2 linked regions of the Stegostoma tigrinum genome follow. The protein of the gene in region 2 purifies or fractionates together with the protein of the main gene of each other region. This does not show direct contact. Links are inferred from orthologs where the notes say so. Each region holds a gene or a part of one and is shown on either strand. Other genes may lie near its edges.

Region 1 (10,975 bases), on a different chromosome or scaffold from region 2:
TCAGGTTCACAGTCCTCTGAAAGTGGAGTCACAGGACAGGGTAGTGAAGAAGGCTTTTGGCTCACTGGCCTTCATCAGTCAGCGCATTGAGTATAGGAGTTGGGAAGTTATGTTGCAGTTGCACAGGATGCTGGTGAGGCTGCACTTGGAGTATTGTGTTCAGTTTTGGTAACCTTGCTATAGGAAAGATGTTATTAAATTGGAAAGATTGCAGAAGAAATTTACAAGGATGTTGCTAAGACTCAAGGGACTGTGTTATAGGGAGAGGTTGAAAAAACTAGGACTTCTTTCTTTCGAGCGTAGGAGACTGAGGAGGGATCTTATAGAAGTGATTAAGATCATGAGGGGCATAGATAGGGTGAATGCACTCAGTCTTTTTCCCAGAGTTAGAGAATCAAGGACTAGAGGGCATCAGGTGTAAAGTTAGAGGGGAAAGAATAAATGGGAACCTGAGGGCAACTTTTTTTTACACAGAGGTTGGTATGCAAATGGAATGAGATGCCAGCAGAAGTGGTTGAGATGGGTACAACATTAAAAAGGCATTTGGATGACTACATGGATAGGAAAGATTCAGAAATATATGGGCCAAGTGTAGAGAAATGGTTTTGTCGTGGATTGACATTTTGGTCAGCATAGACCAGTTTGGGCTGAAGGGCCTGTCTCCATGCTGTAGGACTCTATGACTCCATAATATGGGAGAATTCAGCAGGTCTGGCTGCATCTAAGTTTGTTTCTATCACCAATCTTTCTGCTCCCCGAGAACTGGTATCCTATTGGCAGTTTTTAATTTATCTAAGCCTGGAGATAGCAATATGGTCAAGATCCTAGCCACAAAAGGCCTTGTTAAATATTAGAGGTCCTTACACAAGACAACAGGATACCTATTGGAATGATTCATGAACTGCAACTATATAAAGAGACTGAGACTAGGCATAGCATTCCAGCTAAGGCTAAGTAAGGACAAAGGCTTTATTTTATCACATAATTTTAATAAATAATTCACAAATGTCATCATCACTGAAAATAATTATTTAAGTTTTTAATGCTAATCCCTAATTGTTTTAGAGATATGACATAGTTTGCAAGGCAAATTTAGAGAATGATTAAGAGTCAACCACATTATTATGGGTCTGAAGTCACATATGGGTGAGACCAGATAAAGATAGATTTTCTCCTCCATAGGGCATTTGTGAAACATGGTCATGATTAATATTGCCAGCTTTTTATTTCAAATGTAATTATTTAACTGATTTTAAAATCTACCTGCCATGGTGAGATTTGAACTCATCTCAAAGTCATCAGTCCAGGCCTTCAGATTACTGGTTTGGTAACATAACCACTGTTGCCACCATACCTTGTGAAGTGTGATCATTTTTAATCCAAAAGTGTTTTTTTTGCCAGGGATTATTTCAGCTTTGGAGAAAATGACCCTGCTCAATACACAGACTGGTCCCAGGGACAAAACCTTTTCAATTATTGAAGGTAAAATTACTATGGTGTTACTACACAATAGGGTTGCTCTCTCATTAAAGACAGACGACTGGTGGTGGTTTAACCAGAGAGTTAACACACTTCAAGTGGAAGACAGGTTAAGGAGAGTTAGGGTAACCTCAGCTTGTGCAGGAATTGAACGCATGTTATTGGCATCACTCTGTGTCGCAAAGCAGCCATCCAGCCAACTGATCCCCTACTTTACTTTCAATTACTAACCAGAAGCCAACCCTATTAAATGCAGACATTGAGCAACTTTTCCTGTCAACTCCAAACCAGCAAGGGAGACAGTGGCATTGAACAGTTTGATAAGCAAAGAGACAACAGATCCCTTGGAAGGCAGTTCACACATTGTACAAAATTCAATATACATTCAAATTTCTGCCTGGCTGAGTATTGTGGGTGGAGGGACTGGATGTTTATAGATATGGTGCCAATCAAATAAGCTGCTTTGTGCTGGATGGCATCAAGCTTCTTGAGTTTTGTTGGTGCTGCATTCATCCAGCCGAGTGTGGAGTTTTCCATCATGATCTCAACTTTTGATAACAAAGTGTGGAGCTGGATGAACACGGCAGGCCAAGCAGCACCTTATGAGCTCAAAAGTTAACGTTTCAGGCCTAGACCCTTCCAAAATGTCAGCTTTTCTTCTCCTAAGATGGTGCTTGGCCTGCTGTGTTCATCCAGCTCCACACTTTGTTATGTCGGATTCTCCAGCATCTGCAGTTCAACTTGTGCCTTGTAAATGGTGGTCAGGCTTTGGGGAGTCACGAGGTGAGTTAAATGCAACAAGATTCGTGGCTGTGACCTGATCTTGTAGCCACAGTGTTCATAATGATTTGTATTCATAGAATCCCTACAGTGTGGAAACAGGGCCTTTGGTCCAATGAATCCACACTGATCCTTGGAACATCCCACAAAGACCTATCCCCCTATAACCCATCGAAGCTACACATCCCTAAACAATACAGGCAACTTAGCATGGCCAATCCACCTAGCCTGCATATCTTTGGACTGTGGGAGGAAACCAGAGTACCTGGGCGAAACCCACACAGACATGGAGAGAACATGCAAACTCCACGCAGACTGTCACCTGAGGGTGGAATTGAACCCAAGTCCCTGGCGCTGTGAGGCAGCAGTACTAACCACTGAGCCACCGTGCCACTCCTTAGTTCCTAGTCAATTTTAAGCCCCAGATGCTGAAATTCAGGAATTGTACGATTGAGAAATCATTGTATGTCAAGGGCAATGATCAGATTCTCATATTGGAGATATTCATTGCTTGGCACTTACTTGTCACTTGTCAGGCCAAACCTGAATTTTGTCCTGAACTTGTTACATTTGGACACAGATTGCTTCAGTATCTGAAGATTTACAATTTATTTAGAACATTGTGCAATCATCAGTGAACATCCCTACTTCTGACCTTATGACAGGATATTACTGAAGCAGCTGAAGATGGTTAGACCTAGGACACTACCCTGAGGAATTCCTGTACAACCATCCTGGAGCTGAGGTGTCTGACCTCCACCAACCATAACCAGGTTTGTGTCAGGTGTAACCCCAACCAAAAGAGAGTTCTCCCTTAATTCCCATTGACTCCAAGCCTGCTAGCGTTCCTTAATGCCATATTCAGTCAAATACAATTTTGATGTCAAGCACAGTCATTTTCACGTCCCCTTGGGAGCTCAGCATTGAAGCAAAGATATAACATAGTGAGGAATTGAGATACCCTGGCAGAAACCAGGGTGAGCAGGTTATCGCTAAGCAAACATTGCTCAGTAGCACTGTTGATGACACTTGTCATAAATTCACTGATGATTGAGATTAAACTAATAGGGTCAGGTTGGAAGTTCTCACATTGTTGGATAGATGCTTGTGTTATAGCTGTACTAGAACAGCTTGAAGGGAGTGGCAAATCTGGAGTGTACTTCTTCAGTACTATTGTCGCTAGTGATCTTGGGAGGAGGCCAGACGGATCATCTACTTGGCACTCTTGGCTGAAGATTGTTGCAAATGCTTTCGTCCTTTTGCACTAATGTATTATCATTGTTGAGAATGGGGATATTTGTAGATCCTCATCCTGCCAATCACTTTTTAAATTGCACACTACCAGCCATGACCGGATGTGGCAGGTCTGAAGAGCTTTGTTTTTGGAATCACTTAGCTCTGTATATCACTTGCTGCTTACACTGTTTTATCTTGTAGTGGTATTGTTTCGTAGCTTCACCAGGTTAACACCTGATGTGCAAGTAGGCCTGGTTCTGCTCCAGCCTTCTTCATTGAACCAGACTTGATGATAGTGTTGCAGGGATTTGCCCAGGCCATGAGGTTGCCATTGGTGGGTGTACAATTCTGCCGCTGCTGTCAGTCCGCAGTGCATCATGCATGTCTAATCTTGATTTGGGAGATATGTTCAAAGTCTATTTCATTCAGCATGGCGTCAATGATCAATACGAAGGCAGGACTTTGTCTCCATAAGGATTGTGCTGTGGTCAGTCTTATTAATGTTGTCATGACAGATCGCATCTACCGCAGGAAGATCAATGGGAATGAGGTCAAGTACATTTTTCACTCTTGTCGGTTCCATCACTACTTGCCACAGATCTGGTATAGCAGCTATGTTCTTTAGGACTTGACCAACTCAGTCAGTAGTGATGCTTCCATTGGCAATGGACTCTGAAATTGCCTAATCAAAGGACATTCTGTGCCCTTGCCACCTTTAGTTTTTTTTCCAAGTGGTGTTCAGCATAGTACACTGAGTCATCGTCTGAGGTGGGGATCAGTTTGTAGTAATCAGCAGAAGCTTTCCTTGCCCATGTCTGACCTGACATATGAGATTCACAAGGTCTGCTTTCAATGTTGAAAACTCCTGCAGAAACTACCTCCTGACTGTATACCACTGTGTCTCAACATCTGCTGCATTTGTCCTGGTGATGGGACAGGGATAATGATGGTGTTGTCAAGAATGATACATGTAAGGTATGATTCTTTGAGTATGAGCATGTCAGGCTGATAGCTCTCCTAATCTTGGCACTAGCCCTTACATGTTGGTGAGAAGGACTTTGCAGGATCAACAGGCCATTATCATTTCTGGGTGTCTTGGTTGATGCCGGATGGTCTGTCTAGTTTTATTCTCTTTTTTTAAAGTTAGAGACAACAGAGTCCATTGCTAGTGGTACTTAAGAGGAAACCACATTTCTGTGGCTCTGTAGGCCAGATCACGTTTTCTCTTTCTGAATGATGTTTGTGAACTAGATAAGTTTTGATGACAATAGTTTTTTGGCCATCACTCAGATATTTATTGCATTCAAATTCCACCATTTGCCATGGTGGAATTTGAATCCAGGTCCTTAGTACAATACCTGGGTTTCTGGATTACCAATCTCAGTGACAATACCATCACCTCCTTTCTGACATTTTGAAAACTGAGGAAATGTTTACCTCATTCACTATTTTGATAAATGCTTCATAAAGTGAACTGAAATGTGGGACAGGACCCTTTTCTGGCCATGTTGGGTCTTCCTGATATATCCTACTTTAAGTAGCTAAATAGTACATATCTAATCATCCCTCTTTATTACTGACAACAAACTACTAGGCCTAAAGGTATCCTATTCTGTCTTATCTCCCTCATTAAAAAAGGAATATTAGTCTTCTTCCAGTCTATGGGGGAGGTGGGGGGGTGGTTGGTTTAGCTTGGGGAGGGTTGCAAGAAGGGTGTTAGGAGACCCTTATCCTGTTTCCTTGAGACCCACTGGATGGATATCCTTTCAATGATCTACTGTTTTATGTCAAGGTTCTTAATTCTAAAATAATATTGTTTTTAATATTAACAATGTTAATTAGTGACATTGTTGAATTCTACTGGTTAAGCATCATCCTCAAAAGTGAAAATTGATACAAGGTACTCATTTAATATTTTTGACATACCAAAATCCATCCATATTCTTTCCCTGTAGTTATTTCAATGATCTTCAAAAGTGAAAATTGACACAAGTTACTCATTTAATATTTTCGACATACCAAAATCCATCCGTATTCTTTCCCTGTAGTTATTTCAATGATTGAATATGGGTGATTGAAATCCTGATATAACACTTTTTTCCCATTACTATCACAATTGTTCAAAATCTTCTTTTCCATTAAACTTTTTAGCTGCTTTTGGAATTGGAAATTTGGAATTGTGTTTGTATTACTTTAATTTGTTTATGTGAATTTCCATTTAAAATGGTGGTGCTGTCTTACACAGCTGAAGCTTGGTCCATGCCTGTGGAGTTGCATTATTTTGCTTGCACTATGTTCTAAGTAGCTAAACATGGAAGCAATTTATCTCTTCGCTGAAAGAAAATTCATGTAAACAGTGGTATTGTTGAGTAGGACGTATACGATGTGAAGAAATGCAACCAAAACAATGGCTGAAAACAACCATTTTATTTGCAAAGGACTGTAACGATAAATGGCAAACAGATCAATAAAAATGATATGCTGGGAATCTACTGGTGAAAGATCGAGTGCTGGAGTTTAGCGAGGAATCATGCCTGAACTGTAGATAAGCAGTTAAAATCGTTTGTCAACAATTTCCGAGAACGTGTTGTCCAGCACTAGCAGCCAGAGAGCCAAGAGTCATGGAGTCAGCAGTATTCCGGTAAACATCTTCCGGAATATTAATTAAGACATTCTTTGCAACGGCCTCTTTGCAAAACATCCACGCAACTATTAAAATAACCGCACGTTTCAACGATCTTCCCATGTGTGGTGATGAAAGATTGATTTGTTTTAAAAAGGCTCGACAGATGTTTACTTTATTCACTCCCCAAAAGACAAACTGTTATTTGGTCCCTTTCTCCTGAAGGCCTGGTTTCCCAGTGTCCCATGGGGCGCTGGCCCAATTGGCCATTGATTATTACTTTTCTTGCAGCGTCGAGTTTCCTTCGAGTTGACACCTGCCTTGTTGATCTGATGGGAGTTCATTCCCATTTTGTTTTTCTTCAGACAGGAAACCGGGTGCTGCGAGAAAAACGAGCAGTGGTTTTTGTTTTGACCTCTTTCCACTCCCTGACCCCCCCCCCAACACACAAACCATCCAAAATATTTCTTTTCCAGTGAGTGAATAGTCAGAATCCTGCTCTCTCTCACCTGGTCAGGAAGCCGACACCATTTCCACGCTTTCCTGAAGCCCCAGCTGCCACTTATGTATGTTTAAAAAGAAACAGCGACAACAGAGAGAGGCGGCTGTGAGAGGAAGGCGCCTCCACTGGCGGAGGGAAAGGAGGAAGGCGGTTGTCGTTGGGGGGGTGGGGGGAGAAAAACAGGAGACGGTTGGTGATGGTGGTGGAAGAACAAACACGCACTTGGCGGGGACAAAGGACTGCGCCCGCTCGCGTTTCTGACAGGAAGCCGACCATCGGGCTGTACCCAGCCGATACCAGCAAAACCCCCACTTTCCCCCCGTCACACACCAACCCGGTTGCCGCGGGCAGGGCTCAGCAACGGCCGGCGTCCCACCGCCCCCTTTCTTTTAACCTCCCCTCCCCCCAACCTCCCGCCTTCACCATCTCCGGGCACAATAGCGAGCAAAATGGCGGCCGTGCCTGGATGGATGGAGGACGAGCGCTGACAATAAAAACCCGGCCCGCCGCTCCTCCGCGCACTCCCTTGTGCCAAAATAAAAGGTACGTGCGTGTGTGTTTTTTTTCCTCCTTCCCGTCGCAATAAGCTCACCGACAGTAGAGAGAGAGCGGTGGATGGGGGTGGGGGAGGACGACGATCGGTTGGGAGTTTTGCTTTTTTTTGCTTGCCATCCATTCCACCACCAATCCCCCCTCCCCCCTCCTTTCTCTCTCCCTCTCTCTCTTCCCCCCCACCTCCTTGGTTGTTGGGTTGTAGTTTGGACCCAGCGATTCGACAGCGTGACAGACAATTCAGGCGGGACGGGGCACACACTACTTGCATGTCTTCCTTTGCCACGCAACATGGCATCTCGGACCAATTCTTCCACCCCGTCCCCTCCCCCAATCTTGGGTTTTATCATGCTAGTTCCCACTACTCCAACAACAAAAGTTGGGTTACCCCTTTTTCAATGTCAATTTTTGAGCTTTGTGCAGTTCTTTAATTTGAATAGGTTCTGCTCTGCACTGCGACTCATCCACACGCATAAACTGAACACTGGCATTGATTGTGGGCAAAATGGGGGAAAGCATGTCAGGAGTGTGTTGTAGGAATTGAAAGGAACTGTGCTGTGCTTCAAAGTCTATGACTCCAAACTGGATTGTCTGCCTTTAAACTTGCTCTTATTTGTTTTGTATGGTGTTTGGTGGCGTTTGTTACCAAATCCAAGGTCAATGATGTACAATACCACTAATCTTTGGATTCTATGTAAGGCAACTGAAGTTTTTTTTTCCAAATGCCATCATAGAATAATGGCTGTACAATGGATCCCAAGTAACTTAAATCTAGAGGAACTTTAACATAGTGTCATGAATTTATGTTTTTGAATTCTTGCATAAAATTTCTAAATAGCTGTAAATTTTGAAATTTTGCCCCCTCCTTTTTGATATACTTTAATCAGTTGCAGTTTATGATAAGCCCTTCAAGGGACACTAAAATTTTTTCCAACTATTTCATAACTAATGGTTATGTGGAGTTGGGTGCAGGACAAGTGCATTAGATCCAGAAATACAAGAGTCTGATGCTGTCTAATCTTGGTTTTTGTTTTTTTTTGTGTACTGAGGCTGATTTTCCTGAATTTAACTTAATAGTGCAAGATTCTTGTAGGACCTTTAACTTGCTTTCTGTGGCATGTTGTCACAATAATATTCAGTGTGCTTTAAATATTTGTAAGCTATCTTTGGCCAAGGAGTCTACAAATACTCTTTTGAAAGCCTCCATAATAATTGGTTTCCAGTATGAGCATTTGGCCTGCATTCATTTTGCATGTAATTTTGTAGTTATTTTAATGTCTAGTTTAAAAGACGTATAATCTTGTCCATTAAACATTTCAAGCTGGATTATTTTCTCACACACTGTAACCCAGCTGGGTGTGAATAACACAGAATTGTCACCACCATTTAATTAAACTTAGCTGATTTGCTCTATAAATAGAGTAATAAAGTTTTTGTTTGTCCTTTTGAGTCATCTGAGGTGTTTAATAGGGTTCGGGCAGGTAACTACTGAGGTGATCTAGACCTGGAAAGTTCTGTTGCAAAAGGATACAGCAGATAATTGATGACGACAAAGTGTGGAGCTGGATGAACACAGCAGGCCAAGCAGCATCTTAGGAGCACAAAAGCTGACGTTTCGGGCCTAGACCCTTCATCAGAAGTTGTGCTCCTAAGATGCTGCTTGGCCTGCTGTGTTCATCCAGCTCTACACCCTGTTATCTCGGAGCTTTGGACAAGTTGGTTTTGGAATCCTGTCCAACATCTACCTGAAGCAGAGGGAAAATTCCTATTTTCAAAGGAAGCCACAATGTTTATTTTTGGTTTGTTGTTCCATGTACATGGATTCTGAATGAGTTTCTCCCAGGAGTCTTAAATTGTTGACATGAAAACTCTTAAGTGGAATTTTTAGATTAGCCAAATGAAGCACTACAAGGACAATGTGAAAGCACAGAGCTGGCTGAAGCTCTCCATAGAAGCTTTGCATTGGTAAGCAAACAAAGTTTTATAAAAGTAAGTATAAGTAAATGTGGTATAAGGACTTGGAAGTTGTACATATCCAAATTGTATTGGTTTATACCTGATGGAATGATCTGTAAACACTTTTAAAATTTGTCAAGCTTTGTGATGAACAACTGTTAATGTTCAGCATAGACCTATTCTATCTAGTTTTTTCTAATTAAAAGTTGGGAAGAATCTGAAGTTGGATCTATGATTACAACTTGGCTGATTTAATACAAAATATGTCATATTGCTTTGTATTGGATCTGCTTAAAAGTATTCATGATGGAAAAGTGCATGTCTGTGCCTCCTCAAATACTAAGTTCTTACTTTAATGCACATTGGCTTGATTTCACGTTATAATATTCCTCTGCAATGTCTTGTGTAGGAACATGTTAAAATGGTTATTTTGCTCAATGATTTCACTTTTGTATGGTTTGGATTTTGCCATTATGTTGACAAAGAAATCATCAGTAGGAGTAAATTTACTGCAGATCCTGGAAGCTGTACTGAAAACAACAAATGCTGCAAATTGCAGTGGGTCAGGCAGCATCGGTAGAGATAGAGCAAGCTAATGTTTTGAGACTAGGTGACTCTTCATAAGAGTTGACATGAAATGAGGAGTGAGCAGCAGTTATGCAATAGAAGAGTAGTGGAGTGCTGGTGGAGAAAGCATGCTGATTAATTGATTGGAATGTGAGAATGGCAAAATGGTGGTGTGTCCAACTGCCAAGCTAGAAAGAACAGATGGCCCCGGTGGAGTGGAGGGGGGAGGGGAGAGAGGTCACGGTGACAGAGAATACCACATGTAAAGCGAAAAGAAATGGGAGTGGGTTCACAATCTGGAGGCGCAGAACTCAATATTAAGTCCACAAGGTTGTAAAGTGCGTGGTTTGAAGACGAGATGTTGTTCCTTCAGTTTGCACTATGATTCGATGGAGCATTGCAGCATGCCGAGGACAGACATGTGGCCATGCAAGTCGTTAAAACGACTGGCCAAGGGAAGATTGGGGGTCCTACTTAAGCATGGAGTGGAAGTCTTCTGCAACATGGTCACCCAGTCTACATTCATCAGTGTTCGCTGTTATAAAATGGACAGTTAAGTTCTGAAAACCATGTGCACGGCTAAAGGAAGAAATCTAGTTAGAATTTGCTGTAATTTGATTCTGTTCTTTTCAGTACATTGCACTGTTGAAGTTCCTGCATGCAGCAGTTAACGAAAATAATTACAATTAAAAGAATTTGCCTTTTTACAGTGTTAGTCTTGGTGTAAACAAAACTCTTAAAAGTTGTGGTAAAGGAGCTTTTAATGGGGCAATTCTTTCATAATTACCAATGAGAACTTCTGTTTTCAAATATGGAATTTCATAATGATGTTTAAAAATTTATTTGATGTTTCAGTTATCTTAATCTGGTTTATGTCTGACCATTTGGATTATTCATTAAGGGAACAGATTTGTTGAAGTCAAATTGTGCACAACTAAGTTTTGGAGAGTAGTGGGAAAGGTTGATTAAGATGACGTGGTGTTCATGGACCTCCGGACAGCATTTGACAAAGTGACACATAGGATTTCCAGGAATGTTAAATAAAAGAGAGATGGCTGTAACATGGATAAGGAGTTGGTTATTTTAGGATGGGAGGAAAGTGTACAAAGATCTGTATGGAATGGCACTAGAGCTATTGCTTTTCTTGTATCTTCCATTAATGGCCTAAATTTTGGGTGTGAAGGGCATAATTTAAAAGTATCAAGATGGTACAAAACGTGGAAACTTTATGATATTTGATAATGATTGATCTCAGGAGGACCATAGGCAGGTGAAATGGG
Region 2 (10,626 bases):
AGATCCAGGTGGATGGCATCTTTGAACATAGAACATGGAACACTACAGCGCAGTACAGGCCCTTCGACTCTTGATGTTGCAACGACCTGTGAAACCAATCTGAAGCCCATCTAACCTGCACTATTCCATTATCATCCATATGTTTATCCAATGACCATTTAAATGCCCTTAAACTTGGCGAGTCTATTACTGTTGCAGGCAGGGCATTCCACGCCCTTACTACTCTGAGTAAGGAACCTACCTCTGACATCTGACCTATATCTATAACCCCACAATTTAAAGCTATGTCCCTTCGTGCTAGCCATCTCCATACAAGGAAAAAGGCTCTCACTATCTAATCCTCTGATCATCCTGTGTGTCTCTATTAGGTCACCTCTTAACCTTTTTCTCTCTAACGAAAACAGCTTCAAGTCCCTCAGCCTTTCCTCATAAGACCTTCCCTCCAGACCAGGCAACATCCTGGTAAATCTCTGCACCCTTTCCAATTCTTCCACGTCCTTCCAATAATGCAGCGACCAGAACTGTACACAATACTCCAAGTGTGGCCACACCACAGTTTTGTACAGCTGCAACATGGCCTCATGGCTCTGAAACTCAATCCCTCTACCAATAAAACCTAACACACCATACGACTTCTTAACAACCCTATCTATCTGGGTGGCAACGTTCAGGGAACTATGCACATAGACACCCTCAAGGAGGTGACTAATGACATAACAGATGTGTTGGTATTAATTTTCCAAACTCCATTAAATTCTGGAAGGTTCCATTAGACTGGGGAGTAGTAAATATAAGTGATAATGGGAACTGCAGATGCTGGAGAATCCAAGATAATAAAATGTGAGGCTGGATGAACACAGCAGGCCAAGCAGCATCTCAGGAGCACAAAAGCTGACATTTCGGGCCTAGACCCTTCATCAGAGAGGGGGATGAGGTGAGGGTTCTGGAATAAATAGGGAGCGAGGGGGAAGCGGACCGAAGATGGAGAGAAAAGAGGATAGATGGAGAGGACAGTATAGGTGGGGAGGTAGGGAGGGGATAGGTCAGTCCAGGAAAGACGGACAGGTCAAGGAGGTGGGATGAGGTTGGTACGTAGGAGATGGAGGTGCGGCGGGAGGAAGGGATGGGTGAGAGGAAGAACAGCTTAGGGAGACAGAGACAGGCTGGGCTGGTTTCGGGATGCAGTGGGTGGAGGGGAAGAGCTGGGTTGGTTGTGTGGTGCAGTGGGGGGAGGGGACGAACTGGGCTGGTTTTGGGATGCCGTGGGGGAAGGGGAGATTTTGAAGCTGGTGAAGTCCACATTGATACCATTGGGCTGCAGGGTTCCCAAGCGGAATATGAGTTGCTGTTCCTGCAACCTTTGGGTGGCATCATTGTGGCACTGCAGGAGGCCCATGATGGACATGTCATCTAAAGAATGAGAGGGGGAGTGGAAATGGTTTGCGACTGGGAGGTGCAGTTGTTTATTGCGAACCGAGCGGAGGTGTTCTGCAAAGCGGTCCCCAAGCCTCCGCTTGGTTTCCCCAATGTAGAGGAAGCCACACCGGGTACAATGGATACAGTATACCACATTGGCAGATGTGCAGGTGAACCTCTGCTTAATATGGAAAGTCATCTTGGGGCCTGGGATAGGGGTGAGGGAGGAGGTGTGGGGGCAAGTGTAACATTTCCTGCGATTGCAGGGAAAGGTGCCGGGTGTGGTGGGGTTGGAGGGCAGTGTGGAGCGAACAAGGGAGTCACGGAGAGAGTGGTCTCTCCAGAAAGCAGACAAGGGTGGGGATGGAAAAATGTCTTGGGTGGTGGGGTCGGATTGTAGATGGCGGAAGTGTCGGAGGATGATGCGTTGTGTCTGGAGGTTGGTGGGGTGGTGTGTGAGAACGGGGGCGGGGTGTGAGGGTTGTGTTGCGGGAAATGCGGGAGACGCGGTTCCCTTATTTGGATAAGCTCATGAGTAGGAAAGGTTTGGAGGGATATCGGCCAAGGGTTGGCAGTGGGACTAGCTCGCTTTGGGAACATGGTCAGACCAAAGGGTCTGTTTCTGTACTGTATGACTCTAAGAAGGGAGGGAGGCATAAACAAGATACTTTGGGCCAGTTATTTGACTTGTGTTGTGGAAAAATTTTAGAATTGATCATTAAAGACATTATAACTGGGCACTGGGAAAAATCCAAGATGACCTGAAAGAGTTAGCATGGCTTTGTGAAAAGGAAATTGTATATAATCTACTTATTGGGGTTCTTTGATGTCATATGACCTGTGGATAAAGAGGTGTACATTGATATATTGTACATTGATTTCCAGAAGGCATTTAACAAGGTTCCACGTAAAATGATATCATGGAAAATAGGAATTCATGGTGTAGGGAGTAACATATTTGCACGGATAGATAGTTGGCTAACTGGCAAAAAATGAAGAGTATGCATAAATAGATCTGTTTCAGTTTGGCAGCACGTCACAAGTAGGGACCCACGGAGGTCTGTGCTGGGCAGATCACATTTTACAATTTATATCACTGACACAGATGAAGGGATTCAAGGCACAGTGGCTAAGTTTGCAGGTAACACAAAGAAAAGTAGATTTTATTTGTGAAGATGATATATCAAGGATGGAGGTCGATACCATAGATTAGGTGAGTGGACAGAAAGTTGACCAATGGAACATAAAGTGGAATTCAGCTCCAGGAGCGGGGGGAAGCAGAATAGTTGAAAATTTTTAAAGTGGAGGTGATAGGTTCTTATTACGCAGGGGAATCAAAGTTATTGGGGGCAGATGACAGGGGTGAAAGAATTAAAAAGGACCTAAGATGCAACTTTTTCACACAGAGGTGGGTGTGTGTATGGATGGAATGAGCTGCCAGAGGTGGTGGTGGAGGCTGTTACAATCATGCTTAAAACAAATCTAGTTCAGCACATGAACAGAAAGGGTTGACAGGGATATGAGCCAAATGCTGGCAAATGGGACTAGATCAGTTTAGGATATCTGATCAGTGCAGATGAATTGGATTGAAGGGTCTGCTTCCATGGTGTATAACTCTATGATTCTACAAGGAATTTGGAACATAAATTGATCAGCTATGATTTTACCGAATGGCAGAGCAAACTTGAAGAGTTGAATGGCCTACTTCTCCTCCAGATTCATATGTTTGTATGAATGTTAGATGGGGCACGTACGGAGAAGAGTTCATTTGTGATGTGCCTTGCCCCACCTCAATCCCCGTCTCAGCGTAATCAAACAGCTACTGTCATAATCACGCGAGGGTATTAGCACTTCAAAGGGAAACTGAATATGACTGGAGTCTAAGGCGCTGCATTGCACCAAAATGTGAATTATTTCATAAGATGGGAGGGTGGCAATGGACAGTTACTTTTCAGACTGGAGGCCACAAGAATCGGTGCTGGGTCCACTGCTTTTTGTCATTTTATATAAATGATTTGGATGTGAACACAGGAGGTATGATCAGTAAGTTTGCAGATGACACCAAATTGGAGGTGGAATGGATGGCCAAGAAGATTACCTCAGAGTACACGGAACCTCGATCAGATGACCAGTGGGCCGAGGAGTTTAATTTAAATAAATGTGAGGTGCCACATTTTGTAAAGGCAAATTAGGGCAAGACTTATACACTTAGTAGTTAGGTCCTGGGGCGTGTTGATGAACAAAGAGACCTTGGCACGCAGGTCTGTAGTTCGTTGAAAGTGGAGTCGCAGTTAGATTGGACAGTGAAGGCTGCATTTGGTACGCTTGCTTTTATTGGTCAATGAATTGAGTAGAGGAGTTGGGAGGTCATGTTGTGCCTGTACACAACATTGATTAGGCCACTATTGAAAAATTGCATGCAAATCTGGTCTCCTTGCTATAGGAAAGCTGTTGTGAAACTTGAAAGGGTTCAGAAAAGATTTACAAGGATGTCAGGGTTGGAGTGTTTGAGTTATCGGGGGAGGCTGAACAGGCTGGGGCTATTTTCCCTGAAGTGTCAGAGGCTGAGGGGGTGGCCTTATGCAGGTTTATAAAATCATGAGGGGCATGGTTTGAGTAAGTAGGCCAGGTCTTTTCCCCAGGGAAGACCAAAACGAGAGGACACAGGTTTAAGGTGAGAGGGAAAGGATTTAAAAGGAACCTAACGGGCAACTTTTTTCACACAGAGGATAGTGCGTGTGTGGAATGAGCTGCTAGAGGAAGTGGTGGAACTGGTACAATTACAACATTTAAAAGGCATCTGGATGTGTATATGAAGAGGAAGGATTTAGATGGATATGGGCCAAATGGGACTAGATTTATACAAGATATCTGGTCGACATGGACCAGTTGGACCGGATGGTCTGTTTCTGTGCTGTACAATTCTGTGGTTCTAGCTATGAGAAATGAATTATTGAAATTAGAATACTATCTTTAACCCTGGGACTTCTGTTCAAATCAGATTTTCTCTATTGGCTGTCTTAATAATTGACAATCAGTCTCAAACTCGTGACAATCAGCATCATACACACTGAATCCAAAACTAGCATTCAGCTTGGTAAAAATAAGAACATAAGAAATAGACACTGGCCTTTCATTTACATCCTTAGTGATCCCCTTGCTGAAAATAAGACCTACATTTGGCCAACAACAGTGACATGGATTTACACCAGAAAACACTAGCAATCATCATTTCAGAAGATCTCACCCACCACTGCCATTACAAAGTTGACTCAGATTGTTTGGTTGTTTGCTTCAGCTGACCAAGCAGTCGATACGGGTCAGATCTCTACCAACAGCATTTGATTCAAACCCTCTTCTGACTGAGCTGAGTTCAGGACCCTTTTGGAGCCATGGTGGAGATCAGAGTTTTGTGAATGAAACTTGCCTTTGGGCAGAAAATTGAAGTAGCCAAGAACAAGAGTGTCTTTTGTTTGATGATACTGGCCTAACTTAGTGCCTTCTTCCAAGTTGGTTTTAAAAAGGCCAGATCAACTTCAGCAATTCAAGAAAGCAGCTCAGCATCGCCATCTCAAGAGCAGTTGGGTTATGTAATAAATATTTGCCCAGATAGTAACATTCACATTTCATTTCAGTATCAAGGCCCATGCCCTTGAGCTGACCAGACCAGCATGTTTCATAATTACTTAATGTTGATGCAACTTTAAAATGGGGAAGCTAACAAAAGTTGCAACTTTAACAGATTTAACATGGTAAAACAATCCAAGCTACTTCACAAGAGCATCAATCAGGCACAATGTGACACCAAACTCCAAAAGGAAATACTGACACAAGTGACTAAAAGCTCAGCCAAACATATAGCTTTTCAGAAGGATGTTAAAGGAGGCAACAGAGGTGGACAGGTTTAAAGAGGAAATTTCAGAAGTGGTGGTTACAGCTGAAAACATAGGTTCCAACTGTAGAGTGATGAAAATCAGGGGTACTCAAAAGGAAAGAATTTGAGGTGCCTAAGACATCTCAGACCTGGGGGAAGTGAGAGAAATTGACAAGGGGAAAGGTCACTGGAAGATTTAGAAATAAGAATTTCAAAATCGAAGTGTTGCAGGACCAGGCAACAATGTAGCCGAGCGAGGTCCGAGCAGCAGGGTTATGGTTGAGCTTGAATTTTGATGGAGTAGAAGACATATTATAATCTCTGATGAAGGGTCTAGGCCCGAAACGTGAGCATTCCTGCTCCTGAGATGCTGCTTGGCCTGCTGCGTTCATCCAGTTCCACACCTTGTTATCTCGGATTCTCCAGCATCTGCAGTTCCCATTATCACATATTATAATCAACCTGGTCAGAGGTGTTAACCTCTGGAACAGGAGGGATTTGAACCTAGGGCTCCTAATTTCGGGATAGGCGCACTTCCACCGCATCACGACAGCACCTCTGAGTGGAAGACGAGGTAGCCAGGATAGCACTGGAATAGTCCATGGTTTAAAATGATTGCTTCTGGTGATTTCTGTGATCCTAACAGTCTGCAGTCACCACCTCTGGCCGAACCTCCCCCTGAGTTTATCAGGTCAAAATAAATAGGTAGCAGTAACACAATCACTTGAAGCCGGGGCCAAGGCGCAGCAGTTAATAATCAGCCGTAGGTTTCTTTTCGTTGAAAAACCAACAGGCCCCGTTTAATCGCCGTGGATTTACCTCAGGACGGTTGTGACCGAGTGCAGCAGCATCTTTTCCCCCCACTCCCCGCCAACCCCACAAACCGCCGCCCACCCACAAGCCCCGGGTCCGCCTCCTCCCGAGCTCCGGCTACTCGCCCCATCCCGCAGATTGGTTCCGACTCCCCGGCACGCCACCATCTTTAGCGGCAACATGGGTAAAGCATTTCCACTCTTTTATTTATTTTTTTTAAAAAATCTTTAAAACAAAACCGAAGAAAGGGGGTCGGTATCCCGCTGCTTCTTGTCCGTTCGCCCTTTGTAATTTTTGGTCAGCGGCGCAGGGGTGGTGAAGGTGAAGGGTTGTTGTTTGTATGGTGTTTAAGTTGGGGGGGGAGGTGGTATGTGAGGGGAGGGCGGCCTCGGGCTTTATTGTGTCTCGGGGTTTTTTGTGCCGATCCCTGGGCCTAGGCCGCGGCCTGACCATTCAAAAGCATCTCCTTTCCTCAATCGAAGTTATCCTCGTCGCCAAGGACTTGATTTTATTTTTTTTTGAAATGCCGCGTCAATTTCTTTTCATTTGCGAGAAAAAGGGTGTCATTTTAAAAAAACATGAACTTGCTTTGATTAGTGCGCGTGCGCCATGCGGGATCATAGAGGAATGTTTTAACGCTGAGAATTGTATTTACTTTATGCAGAGGATTTTAAATGCACGTTCACAGTCGTGTTTCTACGAAGAACTTGCACTTTTGGGGGGAAAACGAAGCACATTTTTTCACCGAAATCCAATGTTTGGTCCCTGTCCCGGGTACATTTGTGCCGCGCGCGGTTTGTAGTCCGGCGGTGGCGGCGCCTCACTGCGCATGGGCGGGCGCTCCGAGCCACTGAAAAGAAGACGAAAATCTGCTCCTTTCGAAGCGGGGAGGCTACCCTCTCCCCAGGCAGGAGCGGGGAGGATATGCGACGGGAATGTGGCCGACGCCCTCCCTTCTTTAGCCCCGGAGTAGCGGGTTTTGAAGGCCCCCATGAAGGCGGGAAGCAGGGCCGGCGTGGACTACAACTCCCAGCAACCCCCACCACTGGGCGCCATGTTGGAATTTCCCGCGCCTGCGCACTGGCGGCGCTCGGTCACCGTGGCGGGTTGTGAAGAAGCCTTTTGTTTGTGTGTGTTTCTTTTACATTTTTACCAAAACAGCTTGTGTATTTTTGCAAGATTTGTTTTCTTAGATTATAGTAATCGTGGGATTTGAAGACGGTTTAAAATACTAGTATTACCGTCGGCCGCTCCTTTTTATAAAAGGTACGGGTTTGCATTTTAAACGTTCCCTTTTTAAAGTTGCAAACACCACCTGCAGCTTAACGGCGACTCGTTGCATTAATTTGAAAATATTTTTTCCCACTTCACTGAATCCTCCTTCATTCCCCGCCCAATTTGAAGGCGTCAGTTGGGTTTCGGTGGGTGGCATTTGGCCTCTAAAGTCAGAAGATGGTGGGTTCAAGCCCCACCGCAGAGACTTGAGCGCACAATCTAGGCCAACGCTGTGTGGTGCTGTACTGAGGGGGTGCTGCACTGCCAGACGTGCCATCATTTCGGTGGGACGCTAAATGGAGTGATGCTGTGGGATGTTAAAGATCCCGCGTCCACTCGTTCAGAAGATCAGGACACCGTGTCCTGACCGTTATTCCCGCCCCCCCTTACTAACAACGCAGGAGCCAAATGAGGGTTATCTAAATGGATAATTGTTAATCTGAGAGAAACATACTTCAGATGTTAAACCTGTAAGAATCTCAAAATGCTGGAAGTGCTTAACAGATCTAGCATTATCCACTGAGAGAGAAACAATGAATGATTCTAGTCGATGAAGGAGTTTATTTATTGCGGAGAGATTAACTGATCATGTCACGTTGCTATTTGTTGTGGTGACTTCCTTTAACAACTGGACAGCAGCATTCATTCAATAATTTGCTCTGCTGTGAATCGTGTTTTATTTTGTGCACGTTTTGACCCACACAGTGCAGGAGAAGGAAGAGAGTTTCTTCCTTGGCGCTATCTTGTCAGCCAGATCTTTGGCAGAGGTTTAGCAGATGGTTCTCTTCAACTGGTGCCAAATTATACCATGCCTTTCACAAACTCAGATCATCATGCAGCTCTTTTCAACCAAGAAGTAGTTTTGAAATATAGTCACTGCTTAATGATGTGGGAAGTGTAGCAACCAGTTTAGACACAGAAACCTCTCAAACAATAATGTGGAAGTGGTCAGGTCTTTAATAATTTCAAACAAAATGTTGAAGAAACTCAAGACTGGCAGCATCTGTAGAGATATAATCAATTAATATTTGAAGCTTGGTATGACTCCTTCAGAACATATTTTTAGTGATATTTGTTGAAGGGTAAGAGATGGAGACACCAGGGAGAACTCTGCTGTTTTTCAGAGTTGCTGTGGATATTTTGCATTCATCTAAGAAGGCAGATGGCACTTAAGGTCTTATCAGATGTTAGATATTTTGGATAGTACAAGACAGGTCAGCCTGGATGTGGGGGAATTAGAATCCACTATCTTCTAACGCCAAGGTGAAAATGCTGCCACTGAGACAAAACTGACACTTTAATCAAAGCCTCCGGTGACAATTTTTCAGAATAACCAGTTGTTGATCTGAATGAGGTTATGCACCCGTTACTGTACTTCATCTTGTTTAAGAGGTATACTCATGAAGTTGTTGCCAGGATACAGTGAAATTTGCCAGGCAATAATAGTACTGTGAAACTGGCTGTGATGCAGCATAGGATCTCATTGAAACCACTATTTTGGTCGGTACTGACTCTGAGTCTGTTGCACTAATTGGTACTCTGCAATAAAAATTGCCTTAAAATAAAATGACACCCAGAAATACTAAATCTATATATCTTCTTAAAAAATCCTTTGACAGAAGAGGAGGCGAGGAGAATGTGAGCTGATTCTTAATGAGCAATCTCTGCAGAGCAGCAGGGCTTAGAGAAGCTGCTTTTCCATTGCTGCTGTTTTAATTCTAATTCCAGCCAGGAGATCTGGTTTCTGAGCTTGTTTCTAAGGTTGTGTTAACACCTGGTTCATATTCCAGTAACAGATTTAGTGTCTCATGAGTTCACAATCAGTACATAATGCTGTCAAGAATTAGTGTACAGTTTAGTGCAAATATTGGTCAATAGTGTAAATGAACGTTTTTGAATATGGACCTGTCAGACAAGTTATAATGGTGTTGGAAGCAAAGGTTTATTAAAACCACTAGTTTGTGATGAAAGGAATCTAGTCATATGGGCCTAGCCAGGTTACATCCTGACAGTTTTTTTTGTTGGGGAATGGCAGTGTCATTTGGTTCCAGTCAACTGTGACTCGAATAATTTTGCCTTAAAGTCCCACCGTTGCTTACAAGAATTTTTCTTACTTGTGATACAGGATTAAATTTCATAGGTTTCATTTTGTGAATAGGCACTTTGACCTCCAAGCTGCCTCCCTGCTCCTGTAGCCCAGCAGCAGCAAGCTGTGAACAGTTAAAACTGGGCTGTGGATTGTAACTTGCTGCCAGCAAGCCTGCTTGTAAGCTTGACCGCAGGTCTGACATGGCAAGACACCCAATGTGTTGCCATGTGGGTTGCAAACATTTGTACTCGGACATGCAATCTCAACTGACTGCAGCTCCTCACGGCCCTAATCATCATCTCCCTGTTTGCATCAATATGGCTTTTTAACCAATTCCTCTTTGATAAAGGTCTACATCAAGCAAAACTACATGTTTTAGACTAGTTTTCCAAAAATGTTCTAAATAGGTGATTAGGTAATCCAGACTGTTGGCTACACATACTGGGACTGTAAATATTCACATTTCATAATGAAGAACTTGTTTAGGGGAAGGGGTTTACAATGTAAAATATAGAACATGAAGCTTGTTGCTGTCTAGAATTAGGAGGGAATTAATTTCTTATGCAAGATGATACTGAAACCCCTGCATTGATGATGGACATAATTTTCAAAGTCCTCTTATGAAAGTCAGCTTCAGAGGAATCATTTCAGTGTGTGTATATATATGTGTGTGTAATACACATATATAATATGTACTATATATAAAATGTATTTATTTAAAAAAGCTTAGCCCTTCTGGATGGTTTTATTTTCAGTGTTCAGTATAATTCTTCATGATTAGTTGGTGTTGATCTTATTTTATGGTTTTGACTTATGTGACGTATGGCCATTTCAATGAAAATTATTAAAATATTCTACATAAATATACTTCTTGTATTGCAACAGAGATTACATAAAAGGTATTTAATTGTCTGCAGTGGGACTTTTGGAAGTCCTGTGTTTGTGAAAAGCACTGTCTATAAATTTGTGGTTGCTGCGCCATTCCTCATACTTAATCAGTTCCCTGACTCTTCTGAAATCTTCAGCTTACACGTTCGCCGTTCATAAGATCTAACTTTCTGTCAATCCATTAGTTTGGGAATAAACATTTGAGATTGGGTGATTGTCCTGGGTGTGTAAGGGGAGGAGCAATAAGAATTGATTATGCTCTCATCGCTGT

Evidence for each region.
Region 1: the proteins of cbx1b (region 2) and zinc finger protein 644-like purify together in Homo sapiens (affinity purification with mass spectrometry; 3 studies listed by BioGRID and IntAct, with this or other methods). This does not show direct contact. The link is inferred for Stegostoma tigrinum from reciprocal best matches to the Homo sapiens genes CBX1 and ZNF644.

The regions. Positions count from the first base shown.
Region 1 is NC_081361.1:87,620,081-87,631,055, forward strand, and holds the start of zinc finger protein 644-like, read left to right. Parts: upstream 1-6,504; 5' UTR 6,505-6,816; coding exon 6,817-7,163; intron 7,164-7,212; exon of another isoform or gene 7,213-7,306; intron 7,307-7,355; exon of another isoform or gene 7,356-7,494; intron 7,495-10,975.
Region 2 is NC_081384.1:3,309,531-3,320,156, reverse strand, and holds the start of cbx1b (chromobox protein homolog 1b), read left to right. Parts: upstream 1-6,160; 5' UTR 6,161-6,283; coding exon 6,284-6,287; intron 6,288-7,210; exon of another isoform or gene 7,211-7,233; intron 7,234-7,239; exon of another isoform or gene 7,240-7,369; intron 7,370-10,626. UniProt on the Homo sapiens protein: Component of heterochromatin. Recognizes and binds histone H3 tails methylated at 'Lys-9', leading to epigenetic repression. Interaction with lamin B receptor (LBR) can contribute to the association of the heterochromatin with the inner nuclear membrane.